Linked DNA regions of Oryzias latipes. The protein of the gene in region 2 interacts with the protein of the main gene of each other region in a pairwise test. Links are inferred from orthologs where the notes say so. Each region holds a gene or a part of one and is shown on either strand. Other genes may lie near its edges. The genes, in order: telethonin and ttc19.

Region 1 (3,490 bases), on a different chromosome or scaffold from region 2:
ACTATGGTGCTACACTGACACTAATTTTCAAAAAGAAGCTATAAATAAGTCGTGATAGTTTAAAAAACCCTAAAGAGATTGTTTGAATTTTGGACTTCAAAGCATTTTATTTGGATTTTATCTGTTGTAAATCATTAAAGTGTACTTTTTTTTTAAACTGAACTGTAAATCTTTGTTTTTTGGTCAACGTCATGGATTTTTTTGGTTTAATTTAGGGTTTTTCTGCGGTGGTTGGTTAATCTGCTGCATGTTTTCATTTTTTATTGTGACCTACGGTTGTCTATTTACAGATTTATTCTGGTTTCCCTGCTGGCAAACACTAAAACCATCAAACCATAAACTTGTACTTACATTTTAGAGAGGAATTCCTCTAGTTTAATAATCAGTATTAGTTTTCCTAAAATCCCTTCTCAGTCCACCTTAAACATCTTCTCTTTTAGTGTTGATGTTAGGTGACAGCATGTCTGACTGTTTGTGGAGGTCTCCGATCTGGTTGATCTCCCACTAGACTTGTGGTTTTCTTCCTGCATGGTTTTGTCATGCTTGCCTCATTTTTTCAGTTTGACCTTTTTGGAATTATTTGTAACATTCATAGAAGGCTGGACTGTTAAAATATAATGCAGTACAGTGAGACATCTTTGGATTCTGAGGGTCCGAGTCTGTGAAATGGACTTTATTAGTAACTGTTAAACTCAGTTCCTAATAAAGATCCTGAGTTTTGAACGTTGTGTTTAGGTTGCACTGTAAGGAAAAACAAATAAAATTTGTGGTTTTTCAACTTTTATTATGAAAAATAATAATTTCCTAACAAAAAATCAGCATCATTGCACCTTTGAAAATGATTTACACACTAATACAAGCAGCTAGTTTATCATCGGTTTCTTTGTGAGAAACAAATAAAAGCCGCCGCTAAACTAACAAGACAGATGAGATACGCCTCTATAAAAAAACAGGTTGTCATTTTTCCCAAATCCCTGCCTGGTGATGTCCTTTAGTGCACACACGGAAAAAACACTCGATCTGAAAGCAGCAATGTGTGTGTGATTGTGCCAGTGCATTCTGTTCCCTCGGCGAAGATCAGAAGCTGGCAGAAGCTCTGGAGTCCTGGAGAGGGACTAACATGGTTTATCACACCCCCTCTGACTCTCCTCCCTCTTTCCATCACTTTTTTGACCTGCGTGGTTCTTTCACTCATTATTTTCCATTACGATTCACAGACGTAAACTTTTAATCTAACAAAAAATTGTACTTTCAGTTGTCCTTTTGTGGTTAAACCCTCAAGTCCTGACAATCAACTTCCAACATCAAAATGTGCGACACTACAGACGGGTTTACGTTTCTTCTCAAAATTATCCCTGACTTTCTTCCATTCTTGAACTTGTCATTTTTCTCATCCCCCTCTTTCCCTCTTCTTCCTCACTCTTTCACCCTCTCTGGACCTCCTGGGACATGGAGCGACCCAGGACTTGAGGCGATTTGGCGAACTCCATGGTGGCTAGTTTGACAGGTGGGAGGTCCCTGGTGATCTCGTCCACGGTCCTCTTGCCAGGACAGAGCCCGTTTGGAACTGGGATAGGCACCAAGTCCTCCTCTGTGTGTGGGCCTCCACGCCCCAATCTGATGCCCAGCTCTGTGGGAACAAAAATGGGCAGGGGCAAAGTGTTTCTCTTTGGCAGCAGTTGGTGCTCCTTCACCCCTCTTTCCACAGTGCCCACCCTGACGACGCCAGAGGGGCAGGACTGGGTCAGACAGCGGGCCTGCCACTGCCGGGACAGAGTCTCCCGGCGGGAACTGTCGTTCATGTTCATGGTTTGTCTGTGGAATTCAAGAATTCCATAAAAATCTTCTTCATAGGACAACCAATTTGAGTTGAAGGGAGTTCAAATGTCTCACCTGTCCTGGGGCTGAGTCTTGAGGTAAACACTGACCCAGTCAGCAGCGTAGCTCTCCTTCTGTGCATTGTTCACCTCCCGCACGCTGCAGGTCAGCTGACCTCCCACCACCACACCGTTACTCTTCTCCAGCACACTGCAGATTGGCATCTTCTTTCCTTTGGAAGATCTCTCTCAGACTTACGATGTCCTGAAGATGTTGGCTTGTCTTAGTGATGCTTCAGGCTTCCTCTGTCTCTGCCTGGGATGTCTTTGCTTGGGTCTGCCTGTGGTTTATATAGACGCCCTGTTGCTATTTCTGATTCGTGTTGTCATTCTACAACCAGCGTGGACGACATCTGACACTCAGTCCAATGCGCCTCATTCCCGGACAGCTGGAAGCTCATCCGAGGAGGCTCTCTGGGGGTAATTGAGCGGAAAATCCCCTGATTCTCAGATTGTGCGCCCAGTCAACTTTTTAATCACCCTTACCACACTTTCCAGCTCCGTTAAAGTATCAGTAGACAGTGATTACATAAGCAGGGAGGCAGGGATGGGACAACAAGATTTGGGTTTTGACAGACACAAACAGCAGGTGAGACTTCAATCAATCCCTAATATAATACAAGTGCAGCGAATAAGTGATTCATGTCTGACTCGGAATACTGCAGTTTGTAATAACTGCTGCTGCTTATCAATTATGAAGAAGTACTAGCTGAGATTTTACGATGCTGCATGACAACATCAGTCATCAAAGGCCAGCGGATCTTCATCCTGATTCATGAACCTGGTGACAGAGCACTAATCAGCTCAGGTTACAGATCGAGAAGCGTCCACGTAGACTCCGACAGATCTCTGCCGTGGTGCCTCACTACCGGTCTTCGTCTGTGACTCATTCATCCTTACGGGGCACTTATTTCACCACAGGGCAGGTATCACTTATCGCACACGGCACAGAACATGACCCCCACAACAAGATGCTCCATCAGACAACAATAATAATACTTTGGATTCTGATGTTAGTTTTGTCTTCTGGTTAATCCACTGTGCGTTTGATCGTACTTTTTAGTTTCGACAACACCTTATGTTAACATGAACTTTTTTTGGATAGTGGAAAAAAACGAAATGTCACCACCTCAGACATGTTGTGAAACCATAGCAACCACGAATGTCATTTCAGAAGCCTCTTAAATCATTTTGAAAGTACCATCCCTGTTTTTCAGCAGTTGTAGACCTGAAACGAGAAAAAGTCATTTTCTTTTGCAAATTATGAGAGCAGAGTGGTTATTATTTAGAAAATTGTTACAAATGTGTGAGTGGTAAAAGTTTGTGAGCTTCAGTGACAGTCAGCGGATCTGTATCACCGTGACATCTGTGCGAGAAAATAACTAAACTTTTCCAGTAACTGCTGTTGGTGACGCAGGCAGAGACTTTTTATAGGAATGGCCAGAGAGATCCGAACACCAAAAATAAATGGAAAACAAAATAATAAATCAATGTTGCTTCTTCTGCAACAGAAGATTCTTATCGCTTTAACGCTACATGTTGTTTATTTGCAACGTACAATTTAAGCCAGGACTCTACCTGAATGGAAAAGACACTGAAGGATATTTTTTTAA
Region 2 (4,591 bases):
GTGTAGTGAGGCTAAAAAAGGGGAGATGTGATCATATGTGATGCCCCAAAACAGACTAAGAGGCAAAAAAAAGACCTCACAGCTTCACCTGAATAAAAACTGGAGACAAAGTTGTCTTTTGAGTAAAATTGCAGTCATTGTTTTTAGGTAGTGGGTTATTGCTAAAATAAACAGACCTCATGATAATGAAGGGGGATCTAGTTTAGTTTAGTCTGAATTGAATTGAATAACGATATTGTTCTTCCTTTGAAAAGGCTTGGGTCAGAACTTGCTAAAAAACAATCTGGCTTACCAGAACTTTCCTGACCTAATTTCAGCGTTTGACATAAGCGGTTATCCGGTTGTCCGAGACAACCAGATTTCACGGAGGACAACCAAATGAACCTGATGGTTGTCCATGTGACAACCTGATCTTTTGTTCAACATTTTGGTATTTTTCGACTATTTTTCAAGTTTCAATGGTTATTATTTGGCAAACTCTGAATTGAGACCTATGCAGCAAATTCTTTCCACTGACAAACGAAGTGCATGCATGCAAGCGAATCCTTTGTTTCTACATCTGTACTTTTCAATAAAGATTACCGGTTTTCAAATACGTGTTGAACAATACCTGGTGCGACCGCTAGAGGTCTCCAAAAACACACAAAAGGATTTTGTTTTCAATTTTTTGGCAATACTTTGTGTAACCAGATGCTTCAATATTTAGTCAAATGTTTGTTTTTAATATTTAAAGAGTTTTTTAAATGTCCATCATAAGAGGCAGTTGATATTAGATGTATAGAAGAAATAAAGATGTAAGTACTGACATCTGAGTAGGTTTCGTTGCTGTTGAATATTGGTATCGAAGGACAACCAAAAATTGGGGAGGACAACCAAGTTTACTTGCCAGGTTGTCCCTTATTTCTAACACTGAATTGTCACCTGTCAGTATCTCACCTGTCTGCTTTTCTGCTGGAAGCTCTTTGTGTTTCTCCAGTTTAGCCTCCAGAGATTCTGTGCAGAACTTGAAACCATGTTCAGCAAGCTCAGCCCTCAAAAAACGACAAACTCAGGTCAGAAAACTCTGAACTTCCACCCAGATAAATCAGTTGGCCCGCCTCTCACTTGTTCCTCTCAGCATAGATGGTGGCCAGTTTCAGAGACATCTCGATGACGGCGTTGTCGTCCTGGAGGCAGAGTCAGCTGTGAGACTGCAGCTGTTCCGTTCAAATACAAATGAGGCGCCGGCACGACTCACCTCTGGAGTTCCTCCTGACAGCATGAAGCTCATGGCGGCTTTGAAGAGTTTCTCTGCCTGAGAGGAAGAGGAGCACAGATGAAGATGTCAGCTGACAGCTGAGAGCTGCAGGATATCTAAAAAGAGATAATGATGTGCAGGAATAAGAGTTACTCCTAAAAGACAAACCCAGCTTCACATAAAGTGAAGGAATGTATCTGATAAAAATGACAAACATGTTACAGTTTAACCACTTCCACAAACGGTTGTGACTATGCTGCAATGAGCCAATACTCACATTCTCCAGCTGACCCTGAACGTAGGCAAGATTGGCCATCTGAAAAGCAAAACAAATCTGAGTCACGTAAACCAATAATGTGGTGGTAGACTGCATTGTTAAGCTGCATGACAGCTCCTGCCTGGACAGGTGAGAGCTCACCTGGCTATAGGTGTAGATGATGGCCTGTGTGTTGTGGGTCTGATGAGCCAGAGCGACAGCCTGGTGCAGAAAGGAGGAGGCGGCCTGCATCTGACCACGGTGGATGCTGAGCTGTGTACGAGTACAAACAGTAAAAATATCTTTACTTCGCTGCAACAAAACACTACAACATTACTGTAACAATGCCACAGCCGCTCCATCGTAAACCTGTTCCTCTACAGGTGACTCTCCGTCTCTGCACCGTGCACTGTGCACTGTGCACGTGCAACATGCAGGAGTTCCTGCTTCTGTTTCAGCCCGGCTTATGGTACCTTTGCTTTCTTCAACAACAAGATCATCTCATCCTCCTTCTTCTGAGCTTCATCCCGTTTGTTTTCCTCAGAGCTGCTGAACAGGGAGAAGGCTGTGCGTGTGCACACACAGTCAGCACAAAGAAGAAATACACGTGCAGTTTTTGAGACTTTAGTCTGACCGAACTCACCGACTGCTGCCCACAGAACTCCTGCTCCTGTCTGGACGTTTCTCCTGAAGTGTCCATGTCTGCTCTGCGCTATCAAGCATCTGGAGCTGGCTCCTGCCTCAGGTTGTGATGTCACAGAGAAGCTCTGAACAGCAATGGAGCGCCGCCTGGAGAAGAGAAAAATATCTATGCATGACAAAAGCAGGCAGAGCTGTCCTGATTGTCTGATTAACAGTAGATGACAGAATTAAAGATCTGTCTCATAAGCCTAATTTTAGAATGATTATGGTCATCAACATCTGACATCAGATATTCATGCACCCATATTTAGCTTTGAAACATGCCTGATCTGTTGTAATATCTGTAGTAATCTGTATGTATTGTGTCTGTACAAACTGATCTGAGGTAATAATACGTTTATTTATCTACATTTTAATACAGATTTTTTTCCCATTTCAGATTTTATGTTTTGCTTTGGTCACATGACAGTCTTCAGGGATCTGGTTATCATTATCATCAGCTGGTTTATGCACCTCTTCTCACTCTTAATCCAGTGTAATACAGCAACAATATGTATTCTTATTAATTTGTCCCCTGATCTAATTTAAACTGGGAGTGTTTTTAATGATATAATAGTGAAAGAAATGCCGGTAAAACCTGTTTGAGCTGACGCTGTCAAATCAGAGGACACCTGAACGCACCACGTCCTCAAGTTTAAGGCGCGCGGCAGAGAAAGCCGCAGCTATCGAGCAGACTCTGAGAGCGGCTGACGGCTCCCACTGACGGAATTCTCCACTCAGTTAGGGTGGGTTAAAGGACACGAACTCACCTGAGTCCCGCCGAACCAAAAATCCCACTCTGAGTCCGGCGGAGGACGGCCAGGACCGCACGGTATGCTGCCATCTTGCCTGTTTACACAAGACCGGAAGTGACGCTTCAGGATGCACTTCTTCATAATAAAAGACGTACTGAAAATTATTTTATTTTGAAGCAATACAACTGAACGTTTGGCGAATGAGACACGACCCGTATTTACAGTGAATTCGCTTGTGGGTCCTTTCTGGCTATAAATTATAATTTTGCACATTTTCAGCTATCTCTATTTTAGTTTCAAAACCATTAGGATTTCTATATGTTGTTTGCTTTTCTTTCCTTTTCTTTTTTTTTTTTAAATATTTTGGAGAAAAAACTGATGCTCCTTAGAAACAAATAAAAACTTCAGGAAAGTTTTAGCTATGCATATTATAAACTATTAATTGTTCATTAAATAAGAGGCCCTTTCCCTGTTTTTATTTTTTGTATGGTACTTGTCTTGAGTAAGTGATAAAATAATTGGTACCAGGAACTTTTTAGTTTGTTGTCATTATTTAACCCTTTTAAGACAATTTTCTTGTTTTTTTTAACCTTGTATAGGTTAAAAAATACGAAAATAGGAATAACACTATAGTGTATTTAGTCGAATTTAGAGAATTTTACCTTTTTTTCAGGTATTTTGTCCATTTTTGCAGTCAATATTTAATAATTTACTACAGTTTTCTTCCACTTTTTTTGTGTTCTATGTCATTTCAAAGTTATTTTTAAAAATGTATTATATAAAGTATTTTAGTCTTTTCATTTCCTTTAGTGTTTCAGCATACTTCAACTTTTAGTACTCACTCAAGAATTTCTTTTATATATTTGATAATGATGTTGTAACATGACATATAAAACAAAATAATGACAGCAAATCAAGACAGTTCTTTGTTTTGGTTTTATTGTAAGTTTCATTTTTACTTTTCTTCAAGATGCATATTTACAATATTGACAATTGTTTTCCTTGTTTAACTAGACAGACACATCCATCAGAGAGCAGGTAGAGCCAAACATCAGACCTCGGACATCAGCTTTGACTAACGTTCAACCCTTCAAGAACAGGTCCAGACTTTATGTTTCAGATGAACTAAGACCAGGTTTCAACCCAGTGAAGCACAGATGGAACAATAACAAGCTTTCTTTTTAAGCTTTGTTTGTTTCTTCTCCATTTATGTGGTCTCTCATAACCGCAGAGGCTGACGAAAATATTTTATTAGAAGAAACCAATTGTTTAACTGTTGGGTCTCACTTCCTATTACTGTCACTACCCCTAATGTCCTGCTGGTTTTAAACATAGAGGTTCACCAAGATTTTCTTCCAGAAAGCAAAAATTCTTAGGTTTTACTGGTAGGTTTGAAGATCAAGCTATTTTGTGTCACCCACATTGACTGTATGAAAACTGGACTGAGTGACGAATGTCGCATTCAAACAGGAAGTATCCGTCACTTCCAAGACGCTAAAATCCCATCGACTTTTATAGAGAAATAGACAACTATTCTTCAGTCATCATACTTGAAGAATAACCATTCTTGCTCTGATTCCTTTATTAACATCTTCTTTCTTCTTTCTAATCCTATTTTCATTATATTTTTCTGTAGAAAAGGTTATTCAATTTATAAACTTA

Evidence for each region.
Region 1: the proteins of ttc19 (region 2) and telethonin interact in binary tests that used the Homo sapiens proteins (3 or more experiments, as listed by UniProt). The link is inferred for Oryzias latipes from reciprocal best matches to the Homo sapiens genes TTC19 and TCAP.

Annotation. Positions count from the first base shown.
Region 1 is NC_019866.2:5,747,926-5,751,415, forward strand, and holds telethonin, read right to left. Parts: upstream 2,154-3,490; 5' UTR 2,043-2,153; coding exon 1,894-2,042; intron 1,816-1,893; coding exon 1,425-1,815; 3' UTR 764-1,424; downstream 1-763. UniProt on the Homo sapiens protein: Muscle assembly regulating factor. Mediates the antiparallel assembly of titin (TTN) molecules at the sarcomeric Z-disk.
Region 2 is NC_019875.2:10,841,701-10,846,291, forward strand, and holds the start of ttc19 (tetratricopeptide repeat protein 19, mitochondrial), read right to left. Parts: upstream 3,056-4,591; 5' UTR 3,019-3,055; coding exon 2,945-3,018; intron 2,283-2,944; coding exon 2,137-2,282; intron 2,059-2,136; coding exon 1,967-2,058; intron 1,767-1,966; coding exon 1,656-1,766; intron 1,554-1,655; coding exon 1,515-1,553; intron 1,295-1,514; coding exon 1,238-1,294; intron 1,167-1,237; coding exon 1,105-1,166; intron 1,032-1,104; coding exon 937-1,031; intron 1-936. UniProt on the Homo sapiens protein: Required for the preservation of the structural and functional integrity of mitochondrial respiratory complex III by allowing the physiological turnover of the Rieske protein UQCRFS1.